2 linked regions of the Lonchura striata genome follow. The protein of the gene in region 1 purifies or fractionates together with the protein of each later gene. This does not show direct contact. Links are inferred from orthologs where the notes say so. Each region holds a gene or a part of one and is shown on either strand. Other genes may lie near its edges.

Evidence for each region.
Region 2: the proteins of FIP1L1 (region 1) and CPSF2 purify together in Homo sapiens (affinity purification with mass spectrometry; 7 studies listed by BioGRID and IntAct, with this or other methods). This does not show direct contact. The link is inferred for Lonchura striata from reciprocal best matches to the Homo sapiens genes FIP1L1 and CPSF2.

What each region holds. Positions count from the first base shown.
Region 1 is NC_134606.1:26,635,187-26,642,148, reverse strand, and holds the start of FIP1L1 (pre-mRNA 3'-end-processing factor FIP1), read right to left. Parts: upstream 3,007-6,962; 5' UTR 2,945-3,006; coding exon 2,863-2,944; intron 2,175-2,862; coding exon 2,135-2,174; intron 1-2,134. Other genes in the region: SCFD2 (sec1 family domain-containing protein 2), read left to right, coding at 5,306-6,041.
Region 2 is NC_134608.1:16,334,617-16,341,527, reverse strand, and holds the start of CPSF2 (cleavage and polyadenylation specificity factor subunit 2), read left to right. Parts: upstream 1-3,852; 5' UTR 3,853-3,919; intron 3,920-4,410; 5' UTR 4,411-4,447; coding exon 4,448-4,596; intron 4,597-6,053; coding exon 6,054-6,213; intron 6,214-6,297; coding exon 6,298-6,403; intron 6,404-6,911. Other genes in the region: ATXN3 (ataxin-3), read right to left, coding at 10-33; NDUFB1 (NADH dehydrogenase [ubiquinone] 1 beta subcomplex subunit 1), read right to left, coding at 1,264-1,300, 2,429-2,568. UniProt on the Homo sapiens protein: Component of the cleavage and polyadenylation specificity factor (CPSF) complex that play a key role in pre-mRNA 3'-end formation, recognizing the AAUAAA signal sequence and interacting with poly(A) polymerase and other factors to bring about cleavage and poly(A) addition.

The DNA.
Region 1 (6,962 bases):
TTTATATTAGAAACATTTAGCTATCATAAATCATACTAACTGGATATTTGTAGAATAGTTGGAAGCAATGACACCTGGACCTTCCTTTGAAATCAAATTGAAATACTTTGCAACATATGAAGGGAGAATAAGTTGTTTGGGTTTTTTTTCCCCTGCAGACTGACACTTTTCAAAGATATAATGGAAAAAAAAAATAAAAAACCACATTTAAACACCCACAGGTAATGTTCCACCAAAACAGAATTCCCACATCAGCATCGTAAAATTTTCTTCTACCATATGGAATAGTTACAATGCAATGATATTTTATCTGTAGATTGAGAACCATAAAATTTTTAAAACTACTGGTCCATCTAAAAGGATGAGTACTGTGACATCCATGCAAATGAGCTGTCTCACTGAGCCTATCTACAGCTGTTTCCTAGACAGTAATATTTTAATTTCCACAGTCCCATTAGCTGTTAGGATGCTGCATCACAAAAAGCAGAGTAAGCAGGGAGCCATCTAGAAACAATATTTTTTCACTGAAAAGGTTATTTCTGAAACAGAGTGTGCAATTGCCAATTTTCATTGAATAGAATGAATCTAACCCCATACTCTGTTGGCAACACACCCATTAGTGCTGCACACAATACAGCCCAGCTATTGCCTCAGGATTCCAGCTTGATCGTTTCACTTCATCACCTAGTAAAATGACAGGTACAGAACCTCAATAACACATCACCATTCCTGTATATACAAACAATGCCAAAACTGAGAGGCCAGAGACCACAACTTTTAACAGCTGAACTGTCCCCATACTTCCACAGTTCCAAACACAACTCCTAAGATGCATAAGTTAGTATTTTTTATGCTTTTTGTCCAAAACTATGCATTGCAAGACCAAAATGCCAAGCTAGACACTACTGACCAAAAACTGGAGTACACTGTTTCTAAAGATCATTTTGGCCTCCATGCAGGTAATTTTCCTAAGTAACAGTAGTAGTGACAAACACATTGGTCAAGAAAAGGTAACTGAACATAAGGAATGAACTGATATAAATAAAGCCCAAAAATGTAACAACTTCTTTGTTCTGGAAGAGAGAGGATTCAAGTCAAATGCAACAGAGGTCTAGAAACCCATTAAGTGAGATGGAAAAAGTGAAAGAAAGCAACTCTGTTTCTTATACTACAGAAATAATGGGAATCAAATAATCACACCTAGTAGCTGCTTCACAATAATATCATATATAGTCATGTCATGGAGATCATTACTGCTTTGTCATTCTGTGCTTGTTAAAGTTGATACGAGCTCAAAAGAGCAACTGAGCAGGCTTATGAACAAGCAATCCACTAAGGCTAAGCAAATGCAAGAGTTCTTACTGAAAACATGGAAAACATCTATAGAAAATAACAATGCATGTTTTATATACTGATTTTCCCTTTATTTGATTCATATACTTTGACAATCAATAATTTCTGTATTTTACAAATTATGAGAATTTCCTTCATTCAGCATGAGTGACTGATTCCCTTTTCCAGTCAGTCCTCATTACTAATCTCCATTAACTTTGTTAGTTTTCAAGGGAGCATCTTTGTGCCTTCACACAGCTCTTTGCAACTCAAGCAGGCTCCCCTCAAATATTCCAAAGCTTTCCTAAGTTTCTCTAAGTTTCTTTCAAATACTGTCTTACTAGTAAAAAAAACAACCCAAACTAACCCTGCTTTCACCTAAGCAGATCTGATCTGTACATCAAACTACCTGGTAATCTTCCACTGCTTCCTTGTATCCCTGTTTTTGCAACTACACTGAAAACTCTTCAGGAGAAAGAATATTTTTTAGTTGGTAAATTATCTCAAACAAGTCCTGATCCATCATTAAGACCACAAAGCACAATAATTAGACCTATTGGCATTTTGTAAGGGGTTACTGCTACATACAGTTAAAGTAACTTTCATACTTAACGGACCCAATTTCACAGGTATAGTCATTTCACAGAAAAGCAAAGTCCAAACATACTATCTTAAGGACATTTTTTAAGACACCAGAGCGTGTTCAGGTCCTACCAACTTTCAAGGAGCTGGGAAGAAGAATGTAGTGAACACATCTTTTGTGCAGTCATGCTACAGGGCTTTCATTTGTCAGGATACTCACCTAGATTTTTCTTCCTCTGGTCTCTCTGCTTCATTTTCATCTACCATAAGAGAAAAGAAACACAATACTTAAGAACAAAATCCCTAGGGTATCAACTGTAACAGATTATCTTGGCATGCAGAGTATTAGGTAAGTCTTCAGAGACATATTGACTATTGAGATATGTTGTTAACATTTCAACTGTGAAATCAGTCGAGTGCTCACAGTGCTCTGCACTGACAGGTCCACCACATGGACGAGGTTTAGTTTATATGTTTCATTAATATCTGAACGTAAAGATAGTCCCTAAAGTTGTACAAAAAGTTAATAAATTAAAAGTTAAGCCTCTTTCAGTATTTCAACGCCGGGAACTCGGGCAGGAGAGCATCAGGGAGGGCTCGGTGCCCGCAGGGATGCCTGTGGGGCAGGGACACCACGCGGGGCTCTCGCCGCTGAGGCCCGGCCCGGCCCGCCTCGGCCTGCGCGGCCCGGGCTGAGGGCCCGCGGCACCGGCAGCGGAGACCGGGGAAGGGACGGGGCCGGGAGCCGTCGCCCCCGGGGCGGCTGGCCGGGAAGAGAGAGGGGCCTGAGCAGCCACGGGGGCGGCGGGACTGGGGAGCCTTGTTCAGCGGCCCGGCGAGGCGGCTCACGGCGCGGCCTGCGCACCCCGCGCGGCCCCCCCGCCGCGGCGGCACGGGCCGGCCCGCCGGGGAGGCGGGCTGGGCACGGGGGTCGGGGAAGGTCCGTACCGCCATAGAGCCACTCCTCCTCCTCGTCCCCGGCGGCCCCATCGGCGTCCGCCGACAACCGCTCCGCCTCGCCGGTAGACATGGCCGCCTCCCGCGGGACGCGCGGGCCCGGCGCCGGCAGCGCCTCCCTCCGCCGGCCGCCCCGCCGCGCCGCCCCCGGGCTCCCCGGCGCCTCGGCCCGCGGCCAGGCGCTGCGCGGGCGGGCGGCCGCGAACGCCCAGCGCGGCCTCTCGCGGAGGATCCGCCGCCGCCGCCGCCCGGCGCTTCCCCTCCCCCCGCGTGAGTGACACGCACAGGAAGCGGGCCCGGCCCGGCCCTGCGGCGCCCCGGGCACGGGCTGCGGGGGGCGGCCCGGCCGGCCCGGCCCCGCGACTGCCCTCCCCGCCGAGCCGCCCGGGCTCCGTCCGTGCGCGCCCACTCACCGCGGCCGGCCTGTCGCCGCTCTCCCGGGGCGCGCTGCGAGAGCCGCCTTCCCTTCCTCTCGCTGCCGTGTGCTCTAGGTGGTCCCTGTGCTCTCCTGCGTCCCTGGACGCCCGTCCGTCCCCATAGCAGGGATCACCGGCAGCATGGCCATCTCCTGAGAACATCCTCGCCTATCGCCAGAAGCAGGACTTGGCTAAACACACGTACGCTCCAGTGCCGTGCGTCTGTGCATCTACTGGCGGCTGATGGCAGCTGCCGAGGGAGCGTAACCACGGGGTAAACACGCCGCTGCCTCTGCTAGTACTGTCCCTCGGCTCAGCAGCTATCCAAGCTGGACGTAGTATTTTAGGTTTAACAACTCCTCATAGATTTTTTTTTTTTCCTCCACAAATTTCCTGACTTTGTTTTTAGGTACAGTGAGAGTTTAACATTCATAGTATGCTGTGAATCTTTCAACGTGTTTCTGTGTTCGAAGTGTTTCTATGAATTTCACTAATTCTGTTTTAGAAGCGGTGAGGAGTAGTGAGCCATTTTTCCTGGTGATTTGCTCACTTTACATCTGTGAATGCTAGACAACACCTGCAAGGTGCATTAGAAAGGTTAAGTACCAACAACTGTCCAAATAAGTTTCGACCAGATGTGTGTACAAATGGAGCTTGTGGTGTTTCAGGATGTATGTGAAAACTAAAACAGGGGTCTGCTTTTTCACAGCAGGTCAGTTTGGGAAAAATCAGACTAGAGGACTGTAACATAAACACAACTCACAGTGAGGGGATTTTATTTTAATTGCCTACAGAGAGAAGCTTATTTGAATGTTTCATATATGGCATGACATTTCACTGGAGTTCACAAGAACAACCAACCCACTCAAATTTATTTTTCACCCCCGCAAAATTAAATGTCTGAGTATTGTGGAACAGGTAATGAATTATGTGATGTAACTGGGTAGGTTTTCATCTTGCTATTTCATTTTTGCACAAATAATTGTGGAGTCAGCAAAGGCATTTTTCACCACTGAGTCACTTATTTCTCATAAGACAAATGTGTATATGTAGTACCTCTTCATAGACATCGGTGTCTGAATTTTCATTCCTGTTATGTTTACTTTGCCACTTCACACAATAGTAGTTAACTAGCCCCCATCCTTAGTGTTCATTTCTCAAATCAAAATCGTCAAGAAGACTATTAACTTACATATTTATCTAGCATCATGAAGCTATATGCCCTATAGTTAAAATAACAGATTGGTGCTAGAAAGAAAGCACAAAGAAAGGGAAGAATGCATCTGAGTAGCAATATCAGTAGAGAACACTGAAAGGAAAGGATCTGATTTAATTACTGGAAATCTAGTGAATTCAGTGTTCCTCATGTTTTTCAGTGTCCTGAAACCATTTGAATCTGTAAGATAATTGAATCTGTAAGAGACCTAAGAACAGCAGTTAAGATGGAAGGTGAAGTAACTAAGTATTTTATCTCTTTATTAATGCTGATAATCCTGCTGTCTCAGAAAAGGTGCCTTCCTGGCTGTGCACCAAGGAGGCTGCCCAGCTGAATTCTATGTAGAGCACAGATTTGCAGGCGGGCCATCCATTTTCTGGGGAGAAGAAACTGTAGATGCTTGTTATGGCATTTTTTTTCTAGTTAGTTTTGAAACCGATTTCGAGATGATAGGCTTTTAAAGGGGGACATGGAATTAAAATAATTTGTCATACGTCTCTAACTGTACAGCGAAAAGTCGCATTTACTGAGCGAGAGTACTCCGTGTCGCCAGGTCATTCACCAAAGCACTTGCTAACCCTAGCACAGTGAGTACCCAAGAGCAGGGCAGGGGCAGCGATGAAGGTCCCTCCCGCCTCTGGGGTCCGGACACGCAGAGCGCCGTGGCAGCGGCCGTTCCCGCGGGAGCGGCCCGGCCCCCGCCAGCGCCCCGCCCCGCGCGCGCGGCCAGCCCGCGCCCGGCACGTCATCGCGCGGCGCCGGGGCGCGCCGGCACGTGCGGCGTGTTGTGGCTGTCAGCGCCATGGCGGCGCCGGAGGCGCTGCGGCAGCTCAGCCGCCGGGCCTGGGAGCCCGCGCTGGCCCGGGCGCGCCGCGCCGCCGTCCTCATGGACGCGCCCTCCGCCGAGGCGCTGCACTGGGCCGGCGGGGCGGGCGAGCTGCTGGCGGCCGGGGCGTTGGCTGTCAGCGCGTTGTCCGCCGAGGCGGCGGTGCCGGCGGGGGCGGCCCGCGTCGTGTTCGTGGTGAGCGGGACGCTGCGGGGCGGCGCGGCGGCCGCGGTGCGCGGCGTGCTGGAGCGGGGCGCCGTGCGGCACTGCTCCCTGGTGTGCGGCGACGAGGCGGACGGCGGCGCGGCGGCGGAGCTGGAGGAGACCTTGCGGCGGTGGATGGGCGAGGGCGGCCGCGCCGAGGTGGTGCTGCGCGGCCCGCCGCTCCTGGCGCCCGTCTCGGCGGAGCTCTGCCTGCTGCCCGCCCTGGCAGCGCTCCTCCCGCCGCTGCCCGGCCCCGGCGGCCCCGGCCCCGCAGAGGTTGGACTGGGTGCGCTGCCCGCCGAGCTGCGGGCGGCGGTGCGGGCCCTGGTGGGTGAGCTCGACTCTCTCTTCACCGCCCTGGGCCTGCGGGAGGAGAGCTTCGCTGTGGGGGGCCTCAGCAGGGTCGTCGCCGCTGAGCTAGCAAGCTATGCCTCAGCCAGAAACAGGAGGAGGACAGCCACCAACAAGGCCTCTGTCATCTTCGTGGACAGGACGTTGGACCTCGCCGGTAAGAAATCCTCACCTGCTACGTGCTGTCATTCTACAGGGCCCATAACTGCCCCACCGGGAGGGTGGCAGATAGTAGGAACCCTGGTGACGTGGTGTTACCAAAAATCCATATTCCACTTTGTACCGTGTCCTCCCATGTGGATATAGCTCTAATTTTGGGTCGTTGGTGGGATTGCTCTTGAGATGTGGTCTGCTAAAATACGCTTGTTCAGTGGTTACCAGGCAGTGATGGTAGAACTCTGGGCTTCTCGTGAAGCTTGGAGAAACGTGGCTGGGTTCAAAGCAGTAGTTCCTGTAAGTTCCACATCATCCTGCTTCAGTAGGAAAACTCGGTGTTGCAGCATTCTGCTGGTGATGCCGAATGTTCTCCTTTCTGTTCCAAAACAGCTATTACCGTGGGGGATATGTCTATGATAAGCTTTTGTCCTGCTGTCAGTTTCATGCTTCCTGGATTTAAAAGCCATTGCTCTCAAGCATCTAGATCATCCATTACTCTTCTTACCCAGTTGTTTGGAAAAGTATTTTACAGGCTGCTTCCATGACCCCAAACTCTGTGCCATACCCCTAGTGCCAGGTGCATCCTTTCATGCAGAAATAGATTAAATGGTTTGGTTAAGTGGTGGTCCCTGGGGGTCAGTGACCCCAAAGTCATACTTAACCACCCAATGAACTGGTGCTGGTTTCCAAGTTAGGAGAAAAGTTGACATAACTGAGCTGATTACTCTCCTGTTCTTGGTTTGTGTTTAACATGATCTTACAGAATAAGCAGTGTTTGGTTCCATTCCACAGGCTAATGGTTTGAAGAGTAATTGTATCTAGCCACCAGGTATGCAAACAGTTCTTCATCTGGCAATACTGGGAGCATGTTTCATCCCATGGCCGTGATGGTTGCTTACACACCCTTGTATCCCAGTGGATT
Region 2 (6,911 bases), on another chromosome or scaffold:
CTCGCTCACCCGCTCGTGGAAGATCGACTCCATGTTTACTGTGGCAGCCGCAGCCCCCGCCCCACGTGACCCGCCCGGCCAATCGCAGCGCCCATCGCCCCCCGGCCGCGCAGGGCAGGCCCCGCCGGCTGCGCCCGGCCCGCCCGCCGCTCTGGCGCCCCCTGCCGGAGAGGAGGCCGGCGGGCTAAACCGTCGCTGGCCGCGAGCGCCCCCGCGCGGCAGCAGCGCCCGCGGGGAGCGACACCCGCCGCCGGCTCGCTCCTCTGCCGGCTGGCCCCGCACCGGCCCGGGACCGCTTCTATCCGCACCGGCCCGGGACCGCTTCTATCCGCACCGGCCCGGTACCGCTTCTATCCGCACCGGCCCGGTACCGCTTCTATCCGCACCGGCCCGGGACCGCTTCTATCCGCACCGGCCCCGCGCCGCTTCTATCCGCACCGGCCCCGCGCCGCTTCTATCCGCACCGGCCCGGTACCGCTTCTATCCGCACCGGCCCGGTACCGCTTCTATCCGCACCGCCCGGTACCGCTTCTATCCGCACCGGCCGGGTACCGCTTCTATCCGCACCGGCCCGGTACCGCTTCTATCCGCACCGGCCCCGCGCCGCTTCTATCCGCACCTGCCCGGTACCGCTTCTATCCGCACCGGCCCGGTACCGCTTCTATCCGCACCGGCCCCGCGCCGCTTCTATCCGCACCGGCCCCGCGCCGCTTCCCCCGCACCGAGCGGAGCGGCGCCCGGCACCGCTCCTGCCTTGTGCTCACCAGCTGCGCACTCCTTAGACCCTCCTGGTCCGCTCACAAAGCCTCAATAACTGCTTAACCACTATTCCAAACAAGCCTACAGAGACAATCCAGAAAGCAACTTAAGCAGGTTCAGTACCTGTCAAACACATTCTGGATTTATGGAAGTATTTCTTTGAAGGCTAGTTCATGAAATAGCTATAAACACACGGATTCCACACCATACACAGCAATACCAACATAAATGATTTTTGCATAGTTTATTCTATAATTCTTCCTCTCCTTTCCAGAGTAAGGAAGAAAATTCTCTCAATGCTTGTGGACTAATGGAACTCCTGAACATATATGAGTCATGTAATTAAATCATCTTCAAAAAGTAACACCAGATATTAAACTAGCACTGATGAACTGCAGATGTCCTTTACTGTAGTATCCTCTCAGGGTAAAAATCATATTCCTGTTCTTTCAATATGTAAGACGATGAATCAAACAAAAATGTCTTCCTTTTCATCATCAGCTTTTATTTCCAAGTTACTTCTTCACCAGGCTTCAATTCCCTGTGTAGAAAAAAACCCAAAAAACAAGAGGGAAGAGACTAAAATTAGTATCATTATTTTTAGAATAATTATTAATATTTGTGTTAGTTTACATTCAACCATACCTTCAATTTGAGATTTATGTAAAAATTTAATTTTCCTTGCAATTGCTGTCAGTTAAAAATCTTTCCATACTGATAAACTTCCTCCTTTCTTTCAAAAGCTTCAATGGATTGAGTCCTCTGAATTTCCATTCATTTAAATGGAAGCACAGAACAGCTGACTTCTAAGTAGTTAACAGACTTTTAACTGGATCCAAAATGAAAAATTCTACTTTTTTAAAATGTAACAATTCATTACTTTAGTGGAAAGAGAAATGTGAAAGAAGAAGGGATTTTTACAAGACACCGACATAGCAGCCCAACTTCACTAACAAATACATTAAGAAAAGTGCTAATGTATCAGGGGAGTGGATTATGTCAAAAGCTTTCTTTCTTATTCAAAATGAATTTAGGTGAGGCCAGAGGAGGAAAGACAAATCCACTAGAAAACTGATAGCTACTATCAGTTTCTGCAACATGACTTTTTTCTCTCCTCTTTTGTTAACCTCAAGACCTAATACAGAATTAGAACTGACACAGGTGAGTCAATGCCTGAAGTTCTCTGATGTAAATACTCCCTGAGGAACCAGAGCCAGAAAACCCAAACTCATCAGTGTATATAATCACATAATTCAGTGAAGACATAGCAGGTTGTATGTTAATTTTCAAGGACTTGGTAATTACTTTTAAGTAACACACATTTATAAAAAGAATTTTGTCAAAAAGCACTGTGATAATTTTAAATTTAAGAAAGAAAATAAAAACTCAAGCACTGTGTTTTCTGCTGAAGTTACAGAGAGTTAAAATAATGGTTTCCATATTTCATGACCACGAACTTGACAGCAGTTAATGATTCTTTCTTTCATGAAGATGATAGCTTCTAAAGATTCCGTTTTCAGAGGGTATTACTGACCTAAAACACTTCATGAATGCTTGATATTTTTAGGCCTTTCTTCCCTTTTTTTGGTTACAATCATGACTAAAAAAGAACTGAGAAGCACTTTGAATAATAACTATATACGTATACAAGAGGCATCATAAAGCAGACCTTTTATATAATAAGCTCTTGTTTCTGAAGGCAGACAATCTTTCATCATTCCATCTGTCCAAATAGCATCCAATCACAAATCCTAAGGGAACAAGGATGTGAACCCAGTGTTCACGCACAGCTTGGGCGAAATTCACCATGACTGCTAGAAAGAAAAGTGTAGGAGGTAAGAGGTACTAATACTTGTGCACTTGGAAACTGGTGCATGCTTGGCACCTTTACTCTCACTTATTAGGATTCCACAATTACATAATATACATGAAGGCTATCAAACACTTCCTGGGAGAAACATGCTGCTCTCAAACCCATACCCGGCCTTCTTAGAAATAATCCTAAATGTTAACCCTGGGAAAAAGGATTTCATCCTAAAACAGGAGAGAAATAAAACATCTCTTTAATTTACTCTTTAAAGCAATTCTATAGAAGTTTGCTACTCTGTAAAGCATTAGAAACACTTTCATAACCTAAACTTCTGTAGAAGGAGACTTCATTATCTGCGTCAAGTCTCAGAGACTGACAGATAAGAAAGGACTTTTCTAAAATCACAGAATGACAGAATCATTACAGTTGGAATGGACCTTTGGAGATCATCCAGTCCAACCTCTCTGTCAACACATCCTGGTGGTTTCTCAATGTCTCCAGATAGGGAGACTTCACGGCCTCTCTGGAAAGCTGTTCCAGTGCTCTGTAACCCTCAAATTGAAGAAGTTCTTCCTCGTCTTGAGGCAGAACTTCTTGTGTTTTAGCAATGGCTATTGCTCCTTGTCCCATTGCTGGGCACCAACGAAAAGAGTTTGGCACCCGTCTTTGAGATATTTACACCCATTAGTGAGATCCCCTCGCAGACCTCTCCAAACTATAGGGGCCCAGCAAACCTTCCCAACCCAACCAAAGCCTTCCAGATTAGGGAATTACACGGGATGGCAGTGAGGTCTGTCACACAGCCGCGGGCTCGGACCCCGGCCGGCTCCCGGGGGCGAACTCCGCCGCCGTTCGCGCCGCGGCCGCTGTGGGGCGGCCAGGCAGGCGGACAGGCAGGCGGACAGGCGGGCACCCCTGCGGAACCCCCGCCCCGGGCCCGGCCGCTGACTCGCGGCACGGCCCCACCACCTCCCGGCTCAGCCGCCTCCGGCCTGCCCGGGACCCGACCGCCGTAAAGCCCCACGGCTGAGGGGCGCTCGCTCCCGCCCGCCCGCCGCCGCCGTGTCCCGGCCGAGGCGCTCCCGGCAGGCCCGACAGCGGTCCCGCCCCGCGCCACCCCGCCATTACCGCCGCTCGCGCCGCAGCGGGACCGCAGCGGCCGCGCCAAGGGCACCGGGAACGGGCGGGCCGGGCCAGACCACGCGCTGCGCGGGGCCGGGGGAGGAGCGCGCTCCCCCCGGCAGGCTCGCGGTGGTGCCGCCCGCTACCCTTCCGCCCGCTGCCCCGCCTCCCCGCCCCCGCAAGATGGCGGCGAGCGCGGCGCGGGCTGGGGGTGGTTGAGGGCGGCAGGTACCGGCTTCTTCGCATCATCATCCTCCTCTTCCCCTTGTTCTCCTCGTCTCGGACTGGAGTGCGCGCACCGCTCGCCCCCGTGTCCCCGTCCCCGCCCGGCGAGAGGCCAGGCCCGGGCGCCAGGCCCGGTGGGGCGCTGGAGCCCCGGAGCCCCCGCGGGGCGCCCGGCCCGCGCTGTGCCCATGGTCGGGCAGGCCTGGGTTGGAGGGTCGCGGCCCTGGATGTGCCATCTCTGGGTGCCCCCATCCAGCTCCGTGGAGCTGCTGTTAACCGCGCTGCTCTTAGGGATCCTTTTTAAAATTATTCTTGATATTTATTGTAGAAAATTAACCCCACCTCTTTCTAATACCTGCAAGAGTAGAATGTTAATGTCTGCGACTTTAGCAGCTGTATTGAACAGTATTAACACCGTTAGCCTGCATATTTTCAGGAATATGTGAAGCTAGATCTAAATAACATCTAAGTGAAACATTTTGTCCCCCATTCAGATTAGTTCTTTTGGAGATTAAACACTTGGAGAGGAAAATGACATCGATTATCAAGTTGACTACGCTCTCGGGGGTGCAGGAGGAATCTGCCCTCTGCTATCTTTTGCAAGTAGATGAGTTTCGTTTTCTTTTGGACTGTGGCTGGGATGAAAACTTTTCTATGGATATTATTGATTCTCTGAGGAAGTAAGTAGTTCAGTTCATACACCTGTTAAATTAGGGCTTGGTCTATCTTAAAAGTTTTCAAAATTCCACGCAGTGGTATAGTGTTGCTAAATGCAAAATTGTTCTTTTGTTTTGTTTTGTGTATATTTTACATGAAGGGTATCACACTGCTGAAACATTTCCTGCAGAAACTTGGGATATTTTCCTTGTCAGTCCAATGAGTTGTGTCTCTTGACTGTAATTCTCAAACTGTTCACTTTTTGTTTTGGCTTATATGATTTGTTTGTTTTTTATTGTCATAAATGTGACACCTTTTAGGGGAGACTGACCTTGACTGTCAGCTAATTCAGAATAGTTAACTAAGTTTTAAATGGGAGAGGAAGCCTTCCTGTATGTAGGCTGGATACAAAGCAGTTCAACTCTTGGCTCTTGTTTCAAGTTGAATAGACTGTCAGGAAAACACCTTCTGTCAAGACACTAGCCCTGCAAAGGGAAAAAACCCCTCCAACCCAAAATCTACCCAGCCTTCAATACTGAACTTCTTCAGATGTACAACAAGGAGCTGTGCTGATTGCCAAGTTAGGACTGAAACATGGAAATTTAGGAAGGAAACTGAGCTTTTTGATACTAGTTTTGTAGCATTGACACACTTGCAATGTTTGAAATCTTTTAAGTGAGGATTGTTGAGGATAATTTATACAATTTTTTAAGTGTCTTATCTAAGAAGCAATTAGATAAAATTCCCTGTATCATAACAGCCATTGAGATGAATGTGTATGTCCCTCTTAGTATGCAAGGGAACAAAAAACTGTCAGTCCAGCTTGTATTTTCATTTGTTACATGTGTTTTATGCTCTCAAGTTTTTCAGTTATGATATGTAGAAAGGTTTTAGTCAGAGTTCTAATTTTATGCAACACTTTGCAAGAAAAAACAAATGTTTTTAAGAGTAATAAAATCCCCCAAACTGATGTGCTACTTTTCTTAAATTATATGTTTGATCTTTTCTGTATTTAAAGAAATATATTTTGATTTGGTCTTTATCAGTTTAAAGATTGTTGTGTCTTTGGTCCTATTACTTGTTCACTCCCATCAGAAGAAAAGTTGTAGTCTGTTTTGGGGTGTATAAGCAATTTGTAGCACATCTATACTGATAATATTCTTGGTCCTTCAGTTAATTTACTTTCTGGTGTCCACTTATATACTAAGGTCTTTTTTTATCAGGAGTTTGATGTGAAACTTATGTCTTCTGATCTAAAAGTTATGCTTTCTGAAGTCACTTGTGTTTTTAAATACTTGAACATTAGGAAACACCTGTAAGTTTTAATTATGATTTTTAAAACTGTCCCAGTTCTTGAAGGGTTTAAATTTCATTATTTGGCATTCAGATTGTGTATGTATTCTCAAAATATCTCTAGCAGGGGATATACAAAACCATACAGAGCTCCATTCAATGGCTTTTGTTGGCCCTCTTTTTATAGGCACGTACACCAGGTTGATGCTGTTCTTCTTTCCCACCCTGACCCTCTACACCTTGGTGCACTTCCATATGCAGTTGGAAAAATGGGATTGAATTGTGCCATTTATGCAACTATTCCTGTATATAAAATGGGACAGATGTTTATGTATGATCTCTACCAGGTATGTTTAAGTTGATACTTTCATACACATCATCTGTGATATGGTGGAGTGTTTGAATGCTCTGTACCTCTTTGTTTGTTTTAGTCCCGCCATAATACTGAAGATTTCACACTCTTTACGTTGGATGATGTAGATGCAGCCTTTGATAAGATACAACAGCTGAAGTTTTCTCAGATTGTGAACTTAAAAGGTAAAGTTGCCACCTCAAGAACTTACTTTTAGTGAAAGGCAACAGAGCAGTTAAGAGTTAAAGTAACTTTTTTAAAGGGACTGAATTCTGAAATACTGTGTTTTGCAGTGCTGAATTCATTAGCCTTATGTCAGTCTGCATTAATTGCAATTGTATCTAGAAATGGATAAAATTTTTACTTAGTGCAGAGGAGGTCATGCCAAAGAATGTTTAGGTGTTTGTTTCTCTTTCTTGTTTTTGTAACTTTTTTTGAAATTTACTGATGTCTGTTAAAAGTATTTACTTACGTCTAGCAGCAGATAGCTCAGAACTCTCTATAACCAGTAACACAAGGGAAGGCTTTCTAGAGCAGGTTGCAGAGATGAAGTTACAGCATGTGCATGATTTAATGGGGAGATCTTCAGTGACTCAGATCATACTCAGTGTAGCGTATTGCTGGAACATGTGACACTCAACAGCTTTCCATTAGTGTTGAATGTAAAGAGAATAAAACAAAAACTGTCTTCTT